Linked DNA regions of Arabidopsis thaliana. The protein of the gene in region 1 interacts with the protein of each later gene in a biochemical or structural test. Each region holds a gene or a part of one and is shown in the gene's direction. Other genes may lie near its edges.

Region 1 (6,046 bases):
TTTTGATCACATCTGCAACTGCTCTGGTTCTATCTTCAGGCTTTTGAAGCATCAGATTAAGCGTTACATAGCCATCAACACGGTCAGGACAAGAACCATTTTGTGAAAATGTAAAGATATCATGAAACTCCCTCAAGTACTCCGTAAATCTATTCAATGTAGACAAACAAGCATCAAAATCCAAGATTCTGCTAAAACTAGTTTGTGAATGAATGCATAAAAGAGAAGTCTAATTTGTACAACCTCAAGTTTAGAATCACAGAAGCAAGAACAGTTACCTTTTATGAATATAACCAACGATTTGTTCCTCTATAACAAATGGAATGAACTCACCTAACTTTTCCTGAAAAACGTATAGCAGAAAAGTTTTGAACTTTATAAACAGAAAAGAGGAAAAGCTAACATTTTTATTGAATTTCAGCTTTCCTTGGTCAATCTCACTCTCCTAGGAACCGATACCCTAAAACCATTCGATTTAGTAGGACTTACGGATCCGCGATTGCAGCGGTTGATTTTCTCGAAAAATCCGGTGAGATCGGAAGAGTTGTACTCTGCCCGACCGGTCTCGATTACGTCGTCCCACGTGAAGGATGAGCTTATCGGAACAGTTGTTGCAGCTGATAAAGCGCGGGAATGACGCAGCGGAGAAAGGGACATAGAACTGGAACGCCACCGTAGAATGGGTAGAACGCGCCGTGTAATCGCGTGGGACGAGAATAAGGAGGTGGTGACAGTTAGAGCCAGTGAGCAAAACCCAGATGCCATTTTCGATGGCTGTGTCGAGTTTGGAAATCAAGAGTTATTATATACGGATGACCAAAATCGGAATCGAGTATACTCGATATTGAAATGCTTGATTTTTAGTCACGGCTCGGTACTGTTCGGTAAAAAGCACTGGTAAGTAGTGATTATTAACAAACGCAAATGGCAATATCGTTTTCGTTAAATAGTTTTGTCTTTCCGCGCTATAGTTTTGGTCACGGCTCGTTTGATTGGTAACAATCTAACAATTGCTCCCACCTATTACTCTATTAGTATACGTCCTATTGCTATTATTTTGTGTTGTTTGGAAAAATATTTATAGTTAAATAGTAGTAGTAGTTTTTATTTATGAATTTGATAAACGTGGAACATATGGTTGAGTTGACCGATTAGTTCTTTTCTTTTTTGAATGCATATGTTGACTGGTTCTAATTATTAGTACTGTTTACTTTGGAGTTTTGAATATTGATAACAAATATATTTTATAAGCATTGATTTACTGTCACGGCCAAAGCTACTTATGATTGATTTCAAATACCGTCTAAATGTTATTGTCCATAAACATGAGAACAAGATCAAGTGATCACCTGTAAAAGTGGCATTTTTCAAAATTTCTCTTAATTTTTTATTTTTCTTTCTTTCTTATATATATAGTAAGACTACTACAAGATAAAATTTGAAATACATATAAACCAGTAAATCACAAGGTTATTGGTTTCTACTAGACATATCTATCTATCTTAATCATATTATCAATCCATATAGATCAAATGCCTCACTAATTATTGGTTTGTACTAGAGATATCTATCTTAACGTAACCTATATAACATGTGTATGAATGGTGGATTATGAAAAGACTAATCTTTTTTTTTATTATATCAAAATCCTTAGAGATGCGACAAAACACAAAAGCCAATCCATGACACATTATTGTGTTTTAAACTTTTAATAACACATGTTCTTGTTCAATAAGAAACCAAAAAAAAATATATTTTATTTTGAGAAAGTTAGTATTTGTGAGGAAGGAACAATAAAAGAGAGAGAGAGTGGTGGTGAGTCTGATTGTGACCGTGTGACTGTCTTTTACAAATTGGGTTATCACCTGACTCCACAATAGAGAGAACCCAAAAACCAAAAAAAAAGAGTCTCTCTTTGCTCTCACCACACTAAGAAAGAAGAAGCGAGGGAGAAGGAGACTTTTTGACTCTTCTGCTTCTTCTCCTTTCTCTCTGTCACTTATTTCCCCTCTTTGCTTCCGTCGATTCATCCCAATCTGATCATCTCTTTCTCCGGTTAAGGTCTCAGGTTTGTGTTTCCCCTTTCTAATTAAAGCTTCATCCTTTTTGGGTTTCACCTGATTTCATTTGCTAGGGTTTACTTATCAGCTCTTCAATTTCTAGGGTTCTTAATTTCGTTGCATTTTTTGTTCTCGATCGTTTGTTTTGCCCTTTTATCAAATCGAATTTGTCTTGCTGTAAGTTTTAGGGATTAGTGAGAGTCTTTAATTCCTTAAATTGGAAAAATTTGGAGATGAATTGATAAAGTTTTAAGCTTTCTTGATTTGGAAAAAATGACATGTTTGCGTTTGTGAGTGATTTAGTTGTTTGATGAAATCTCAGGACTTCTCAGATTCGAATTATAAATGGGAAATTGTTGTGCGAGCCCGGGTTCGGAGACTGGGAGTAAGAAGGGGAAACCAAAGATCAAAAGTAACCCGTTTTATAGTGAAGCATACACTACGAATGGATCTGGAACTGGGTTCAAGCTCTCTGTTTTGAAAGATCCAACAGGACATGATATATCTCTTATGTATGATCTGGGGCGTGAGGTTGGTCGCGGAGAGTTTGGTATTACTTACTTGTGCACTGATATCAAAACGGGCGAGAAGTATGCGTGCAAGTCTATATCAAAGAAGAAGCTTAGAACAGCTGTGGATATAGAGGATGTTAGGAGGGAAGTTGAGATAATGAAACATATGCCTAGACACCCAAATATCGTGTCGCTGAAGGATGCCTTTGAGGATGATGATGCAGTGCATATAGTTATGGAGTTGTGTGAAGGAGGTGAGCTGTTTGATCGGATTGTTGCTAGAGGTCATTATACTGAGCGAGCTGCTGCTGCAGTGATGAAGACTATTCTTGAAGTTGTTCAGGTTTGTAGTTTTTCGTTTTTCATTTGCACTCTCGTTTTGTCAACTTTCTAGCTGGTCTTTCTTGCCTCTAATTCTATTGCAAGGTTCCTTGTTTGTCTTTATGCAGTGGCTTTCACTTACAGTGTAATGCTAGTTAAAGTTGTTATCCCAACTTTTACCTTTATGATTTGAACACCTTTTGGTATTGCAGATATGCCATAAGCATGGAGTGATGCATCGGGATCTAAAGCCTGAGAACTTTCTCTTTGCAAATAAAAAAGAGACATCAGCCCTTAAAGCCATAGATTTTGGATTATCAGTCTTCTTCAAGCCTGGTATAGATTTTATAATGTCCATTATATATCTCAGGTCAACAGATAATTTTGTTCTGTCTACGCCACTTGATATATTTTGAATTTGTAACAGGTGAGGGATTCAACGAGATTGTTGGAAGTCCTTATTACATGGCACCAGAGGTACTTAGGCGAAATTACGGACCTGAGGTTGATATCTGGAGTGCTGGAGTTATCCTTTATATCCTGCTCTGTGGTGTCCCACCATTTTGGGCCGGTTTGTTATGATCCATCTTATTGTCTTAATCCATTTTTTGTTCTTCAACAGTGGATGTTTTGTACGGATATGCAGCTGGTTGATTTTAGTTTCCATAGATGATTAGAAAGATTTACTGCAGAACCACTAGTTTCCTCTGTGAATGATTTAGGATGATGTTATCAAATTACATGTTCATGGATTCACTAGTGACCTCTTTCGATTTTTTTAATTGCTTATCTTCGTCCACTTTTTGAGTTTCTTTTCTTGATGTTGTTTATTTTTGTAAAGAGACTGAGCAAGGGGTGGCTCAGGCGATCATTAGGTCAGTTATCGACTTTAAGAGGGATCCATGGCCGAGAGTTTCTGAGACTGCCAAAGACCTTGTGAGGAAGATGCTCGAACCTGACCCCAAAAAACGGCTTTCTGCTGCACAAGTACTCGGTATGTTTCCTAGTGTGTTTCTAAAATCTGTTACTTATGGAACATATATATCATGACACTTCTATCTGCAGAACATTCTTGGATACAAAATGCGAAGAAGGCTCCAAATGTTTCACTCGGCGAGACGGTGAAAGCAAGACTCAAACAGTTTTCTGTTATGAACAAGCTCAAGAAAAGAGCGCTACGGGTATTCTGTCTAGCATTGCAGCTGCTTCATGACCTTATTTCTGTTGGATTTGAAGAAATAATGCGAAACTTCTTTTTTCACTTCCTTTCAGGTGATAGCCGAACACTTATCAGTGGAGGAAGTAGCTGGCATCAAGGAAGCATTTGAGATGATGGACAGTAAAAAGACGGGAAAGATAAACCTCGAGGAGCTTAAATTTGGACTTCATAAACTCGGACAGCAGCAGATACCTGATACTGATCTACAGATTCTGATGGAAGCTGTAAGAAAAAACTTAAAACTTTGGAGTTTGTGTTCCAACAGATATTTGAAAGCCTTTTTTTTTTATCTGGTGTGCAGGCTGATGTTGATGGGGATGGGACTTTAAATTATGGGGAGTTTGTGGCTGTCTCTGTGCATCTTAAGAAAATGGCGAACGACGAACACTTGCATAAGGCTTTTAGCTTTTTTGACCAGAATCAGAGCGATTACATAGAGATTGAGGAGCTGCGTGAGGCTTTAAATGATGAGGTGGATACTAACAGTGAAGAAGTTGTTGCAGCTATTATGCAAGATGTTGACACAGACAAGGTAACCACAAAATATGAGATTAGAAATAGACACTTTTCACTGCAAATGCGTCTTCACTCAATAATGTTATGTGACGATAATATGGGGACACAAATGATTCAGTGTAGTAGCATAAGACTTGGGTATGTTTGTCTGAATCTTTCTCCTCGGAAGGCTATATGTGGGAATATGATAGGAGTTCACCAAGTGCACATGCCATATCAGCATTTTAATGCGTGATTGAGATTATGTGTAACCTGGTTCATTGAGAATAGATGAGATTATGTGTTTGATCTTATCAGTATATCTCAGAATTGTGCATCCTTAGTTCTCAAGTCTTGAACAGGCAACTTGATGGCAAAATTGGTTTGGAAATACATAGCAGTTTACAAGTCTTCTCTTGATTTTTTTTATCGTCTTGGTGATTAGGACGGACGAATAAGCTATGAAGAGTTTGCGGCGATGATGAAAGCTGGAACAGATTGGAGGAAAGCGTCGAGGCAGTATTCCCGGGAAAGATTCAACAGTTTGAGCCTCAAGTTAATGAGAGAAGGTTCATTGCAATTAGAAGGCGAAAATTAAGAAAGGTTCTTTGTTTCTGTATCTCTTAAAGAAGTAAAAAGAAAAAGGAAAAAACAGTATTCTTTGAAAATTGTTTATCTTTTTTTTTCCTCAATAATTGTAGATCAGGGTTTCAAATGTTTTAGTTACTTGAATAGCCAGCCATGTACGATATGAAGCAGATGTTCTTAAATTTTCTGACTCTTTATTTTCATGTTGTCTGGATCCTTAATACTATTTGTTGGCAAACAATAGTGTAAAAGTCCCTTTAGTTTTGTTTACTTCTTTCCCGACCATGTCACCATGGGTCAGAAGATATTCATTAATCATTGTTTGATCATTTGTAGATTCATCAGTGTAAAGATGCTCACTTGACTCGAATTCTTATTTGATATCTTACTAACAAGAAATAAAAGGAAAAGTAACTCATTTGATGGAACAACAATAAAGTACACAAGAACATACTAATATCTCCTTGAGAACATTGACATGTTCCAAATATTATTTCTGAAATAGTCTTCCAAATACTTTATCTAATCTGGATTAAATCCATTGGCTCAAATGCTTTCTCAGAACTGTGCGAAACCTTTTTCCTTCAAGGACTCGACGGTCTCCTTGATGCTAACCTTCAAGGGTATGTAGTCTATGCCAAGGCTCCTCGTTTTATCCTTGGACACTTGATACGTTGGCACGTAGGGATTCTCGTCCACACACCTGCGTATGAGGCAAAAGTTATTGACACAGGACATGAACAAAACAACCGGTGTAATATATTTAGTTCATGTTTTACCTTTCAGGTAGTGGGAGATTTGGGTAAAGCTCACGTAGAATGTTAACAATCTCGGAGTGGTGAACGACACGC
Region 2 (5,641 bases), on another chromosome or scaffold:
CAACATTTGATAACACGAAGATATATTCTGTGATTTGAAATTATCTATCATCAAAAATGGAGCCAATAACTTTGAAACAACACGTTTTACCAGTGATAGTAACACCACATTTGGTTATGTCATATGTGCTCCACGTGATGTGGTCCATGTGGATACAAAATAACACACACACAAAAAACTGCATTTGAGTTATTTTAGTCATTGCACTTAATATATATGCGGCATACTGGAGAGGATTAAAAGTCCTAATAACTCTAAATGTCTAAATTATAAACAAGTAAATTTATAACTACGAGAGTATCTCCCTACTCCACTTTTATCTCTTATAGCTTATTGGATTGTTGTTTTCGTAACAGAGCTACTACAATGTTTATGGAGGGGGGCAACTGCGCAATATGTCCTTTAAAGAAATATATAAAAGAATGCGAAATGAATTCTGTTAAACGGAGATAGATGAAGATTGTCTTCTAATGATTGCCACTTTCTGAGAATAGTATGTTACTGTTGATTGTTGTACCTAGCTCTAGTTGTAAATAATAATATCAAACTAAGTAACAAGAGCAACTTGTTGACACTAAAGGGACCCCAAGTTACCCTCAATCAAAAATTGTGGATCAGTTCATCATCGAAGTAACGTGTTAATTATCGTCATATGCTCCACAACATCGACTCCCCACCATACCCACTCAATAATGTCAATTCAGCTCTCTCTTTTTGTATTTTTATAAAGAATGTATTTAAATTTTCAACCCATAATTTATAGATTCATGATCATCTATTAATAATTCATTAAATACTTTTCTGCATATTGATTTATTTAAAAGCCGTACGCAAGCTCAAATCGGATAAGACTAAAATAATATCACCCAGTTAAGTTAACTAACTTATTTTATTTTGAATAGTAGTATTAATTACTTTTGTTCAACTACTCCAATACTGTTTATATCCTTTCGACGGTATTAGTTATTTTCATGTTTCACGCATTTTTGTAATTGCAAATACAGACACCTTTGTTGTAACACATGTTGATTAATTTTCCGAAACTATATACTTTTGAAGACAAAAATTTAAAACAAAGAAACCTCAGATCTACAGTTCCACCTCGTGTCTGACACGAGTTTCTATGCGATAAGATCGAACATGTATATCAGCAGACTTTACTATAGATGAACTCATATTAGTAATAAGATCCAAATACGGAAATAAACAACTTGGAAAGTGAATGGAAGTTTTAAGAGAAAAATCATTTCTAGAATTATTTTTTAGATCATTTCTTTTTTTGGAGCATCCATTAGAGTTTTGTTTTTAGACTTTATGATTTATTTTTCTTTTGTTATCAGCACAATAATTGATTTTCAAAAGATATTGTATCTTTTTTTTATCTCTTGAGAAGCACAGCACAACAACGAGCAATGCTGACTTGTCGGGGTCAGCGATTATTATTAGTCACCGAACGAATTTTTCTTGGGTTGGAGCCAAAACCTAGCAAAAAAATATCTAAGTGGGGGCACTACATTATTGTTTTAACACCAAGGAAAAGTAAACAACAATGGCCCATTTTTACTGTATCGAGAAATTGATCTCGAAAGGACAAATGTACCCTTCCACTTCGGGAATCCATTATTGTGCATAACACACGCTGTTTCACTATATATACTTTCACATAGGATCTCAACACTCTCACTAAACCAAAATCCTCAAAAGCCTATTTGGGGGATCATCAACCTTCTATCATCACCATGGATCCTTACAAGGTATCTTCGATCATATTCTTCTTACTTTTTCTTTGTTTTTGTGTGGTGTATGTGTATCTTAATTAGAATTAGGTTCAACTATATATGCTCGTTTTCTAAACTATTTTTTAATTGGATTGATGTTCTTAAATCTTAAGGGTCAAAATACTTTTTATGCTCAAAAACTTACTTAAATTCTGTGATCGCTTGAACCTAAGTTGATGATGTTGATTTCTGTTTTGGCTGGCTATCTTTAATTAAAACGTTTAACCACTGCGTGAGAAAGACACGCCACATGTGGTTTTTGTTGTTTTTTTCCTTAGATTAGAAGTTATTTTGTTGTTGTTTTTTTTTTTATTATTATTACACACATGTGTTCTAAAAATCGGACGTTCAAATGATATAATCGATTGTTTAGACGTCCGACCGTATATTATTTTAGTGATATCAGCCAAATCAGATTAAGTAATCATCAACAAAATGATTGATCAGATCTACTAAACACCTGAGTAATCAAATCTACACGTTTGATTAATCAAATTAAATAACCGATCAGTTAGATCTATACATATGATAAATCTTTTTTTACAACATTCGGTTAATCAAACCATTGTCGGTCGATCTATCAATACAAGTGTATTTTTTTTTCACATACAAAAAAATTATCTCACCGACGAAAAAAAAATAAAAAATTATTATGTAGATCCATCGAACAAAAGGCTTGAATATACGGAAGTCACTTAAAAGTGTAATAATCGAATAAATATTAGTGGATAAAATGAAATTTATCTACAACCCTACTCTCCGACATGTTACTGTTTGCGTCATCAAATCTAAAGCCTTTTTGGCAAATAATGGTCGGAAGACTACTCGTGTCGGGATGGACCACCCGGATCCGATCAGGAAACGGGTTTTGATATGTTTCGGGTTACGACAAAAAATTAGGGCTTTTTATCAAATCAATCAGTTGGTAGTAAAATTTTGTGGATTGTTCTTGTCGATTCCGTTTGATTGTTGACCAAATTTCTTCCTGGATTTTGTTGATAATCGATCGTATAATGGTGATTGCAGTATCGTCCTTCAAGCGCGTACAACGCCCCATTCTACACCACAAACGGTGGTGCTCCAGTCTCCAACAACATCTCTTCCCTCACCATCGGAGAAAGAGGTATCGTAACCCTGAATTTCAAGAGTCTATCAATAAGAATCGGAACTTGTTGGATTTATGAAAGAGATAAAACTGAGATATAGAGTCTAAGCTGAGATCTTGTTCGTGAAGCGTGATGTGATTATTTTTAACATGTGTTACTTCGTAATGGGCAGGTCCGGTTCTTCTTGAGGATTATCATTTGATCGAGAAGGTTGCTAATTTCACCAGAGAGAGGATCCCTGAGAGAGTGGTTCATGCTAGAGGAATCAGTGCTAAGGGTTTCTTTGAAGTCACCCATGACATTTCAAACCTCACTTGTGCTGATTTTCTCAGAGCCCCTGGTGTTCAAACTCCGGTTATTGTCCGTTTCTCCACCGTTGTCCACGAACGTGCCAGTCCTGAAACCATGAGGGATATTCGTGGTTTTGCTGTCAAGTTTTACACCAGAGAGGTATAAGAAAAGATTCAAAGTTTCCATTTTTAATCGTCTTTTAGCTTCTTTAGAATCAGGACTGATTTTTGTCTTGTTACTGTTATGATCAGGGAAACTTTGATCTTGTTGGGAACAACACTCCGGTGTTCTTCATCCGTGATGGGATTCAGTTCCCGGATGTTGTCCACGCGTTGAAACCTAACCCGAAAACAAACATCCAAGAGTACTGGAGGATTCTGGACTACATGTCCCACTTGCCTGAGAGTTTGCTCACATGGTGCTGGATGTTTGATGATGTTGGTATTCCACAAGATTACAGGCACATGGAGGGTTTCGGTGTCCACACCTACACTCTTATTGCCAAATCTGGAAAAGTTCTCTTTGTGAAGTTCCACTGGAAACCAACTTGTGGGATCAAGAATCTGACTGATGAAGAGGCCAAGGTTGTTGGAGGAGCCAATCACAGCCACGCCACTAAGGATCTCCACGATGCCATTGCATCTGGCAACTACCCCGAGTGGAAACTTTTCATCCAGACCATGGATCCTGCAGATGAGGATAAGTTTGACTTTGACCCACTTGATGTGACCAAGATCTGGCCTGAGGATATTTTGCCTCTGCAACCGGTTGGTCGCTTGGTTCTGAACAGGACCATTGACAATTTCTTCAATGAAACTGAGCAGCTTGCGTTCAACCCGGGTCTTGTGGTTCCTGGAATCTACTACTCAGACGACAAGCTGCTCCAGTGTAGGATCTTTGCTTATGGTGACACTCAGAGACATCGCCTTGGACCGAATTATTTGCAGCTTCCAGTCAATGCTCCCAAATGTGCTCACCACAACAATCACCATGAAGGTTTTATGAACTTCATGCACAGAGATGAGGAGGTACGTCTTAGTACACCACTTGAGCTACCATTGTTAGTCTTTTTACTTGGAATCAAAATTCTCATTTGGTTTGTACTTTTTACAGATCAATTACTACCCCTCAAAGTTTGATCCTGTCCGCTGCGCTGAGAAAGTTCCCACCCCTACAAACTCCTACACTGGAATTCGAACAAAGGTCCGATTCCTGCCATGCCTTCTCTAAATCTTCAAATCCTAAACTCAAGTTTATTAGAATATTGGTGCTAAGAAAACCTTTTAATTGCTAATGTTGCAGTGCGTCATCAAGAAAGAGAACAACTTCAAACAGGCTGGAGACAGGTACAGATCATGGGCACCAGACAGGCAAGACAGGTTTGTTAAGAGATGGGTGGAGATTCTATCGGAGCCACGTCTCACCCACGAGATCCGCGGCATCTGGATCTCTTACTGGTCTCAGGTCAGAACAAAAAAACACTCGGTCAAATTTCTACGTCCTTTTTACCAAGTTTCAGCAAACTAAAACATTATTTATCTCTCTGTATCTCTCAGGCTGATCGATCCTTGGGACAGAAACTTGCAAGCCGTCTGAACGTGAGGCCAAGCATCTAGAGGCCAATCTCCATATAAGCTCAGTCTATGTGAGGTACAATCAATCTCATCGATCTATCATCGCTTGGTCGTTAAATCCGTCAAAAAGATAATCACATGTGTTGTTGTTTCTTGTCTATATAATAATAATGCTTGTAATCCCAAAAACTCATGTTTCCTTCCTTTCTACTCTCACTGTCTTTGTAATCTCTTTTTACAATAAATCAATGTTTCTTGAAGCAGTAAACAATTTCTAAGATTTATGGTGGTCGTTATACATATTATTAATTCAGGAAAAAAAAGAGAAGATACCGTAATTGAACATGTATTATTTTAAGGAGAATCCTGAAATGGATCAACAATTGTCTAATTATGGTATAGTATCTGGCGAAATCAAAGACGATATCATCCACACGTAATTAGTTTGACTATTAATACGAGGATTATCATTTGGATAAGGATTAACAAAGACAAAACACATACGTGTTTTGGTGTTGAGCTAAAATAAGATATTTTGGCTCTCGCTATAAAAAAAAAATCGACAACAGTGCAGACACACGCCGATTTGCGAGATACACACAGTCTCACCTAAAAATCGCAAAAGAAGAAAAATTCGGATCAAAATTGTCTTCAAGCATCATGGATCCATACAGGGTACATCGATTGATTCTCTTTTTTTGTAATCTGTGATTTTACCTTACTTGATTTCGTATCGATTTGGTGTGATTTCGTGTTGAATCCAAAGTGTATGAATGATCTCTCTCTCTCGGTTAAAATGATGCAAAATTGGGGTGATTGTTCGACTTGTTGAGGTTTTTTTGTGTGAATCGATTTCTTTATTATATAGTGGAGATTGGGTTTCGATTTGCAT

Evidence for each region. Proteins that work in one complex are often made in the same cells at the same time.
Region 2: of the proteins of CDPK19 (region 1) and CAT3, one has a biochemical effect on the other in vitro, tested with the Arabidopsis thaliana proteins (one study listed by BioGRID).

Annotation. Positions count from the first base shown.
Region 1 is NC_003076.8:6,557,831-6,563,876, reverse strand, and holds CDPK19 (calcium-dependent protein kinase 19), read left to right. Parts: upstream 1-1,819; 5' UTR 1,820-2,068; intron 2,069-2,076; exon of another isoform or gene 2,077-2,382; 5' UTR 2,383-2,405; coding exon 2,406-2,915; intron 2,916-3,105; coding exon 3,106-3,229; intron 3,230-3,320; coding exon 3,321-3,464; intron 3,465-3,734; coding exon 3,735-3,887; intron 3,888-3,958; coding exon 3,959-4,074; intron 4,075-4,165; coding exon 4,166-4,336; intron 4,337-4,413; coding exon 4,414-4,644; intron 4,645-5,052; coding exon 5,053-5,205; 3' UTR 5,206-5,546; downstream 5,547-6,046. Other genes in the region: NUDT20 (nudix hydrolase homolog 20), read right to left, coding at 1-149, 279-343, 490-765; AT5G19440 (NAD(P)-binding Rossmann-fold superfamily protein), read right to left, coding at 5,754-5,898, 5,975-6,046. UniProt on the Arabidopsis thaliana protein: May play a role in signal transduction pathways that involve calcium as a second messenger.
Region 2 is NC_003070.9:7,141,403-7,147,043, forward strand, and holds CAT3 (catalase 3), read left to right. Parts: upstream 1-1,730; 5' UTR 1,731-1,739; coding exon of another isoform or gene 1,740-1,754; 5' UTR 1,755-2,511; coding exon 2,512-2,703; exon of another isoform or gene 2,704-2,804; coding exon 2,805-2,901; exon of another isoform or gene 2,902-3,056; coding exon 3,057-3,334; intron 3,335-3,426; coding exon 3,427-4,203; coding exon of another isoform or gene 4,204-4,288; coding exon 4,289-4,378; coding exon of another isoform or gene 4,379-4,405; exon of another isoform or gene 4,406-4,477; coding exon 4,478-4,639; intron 4,640-4,731; coding exon 4,732-4,791; 3' UTR 4,792-5,138; downstream 5,139-5,641. Other genes in the region: CAT1 (catalase 1), read left to right, coding at 5,410-5,424. UniProt on the Arabidopsis thaliana protein: Occurs in almost all aerobically respiring organisms and serves to protect cells from the toxic effects of hydrogen peroxide.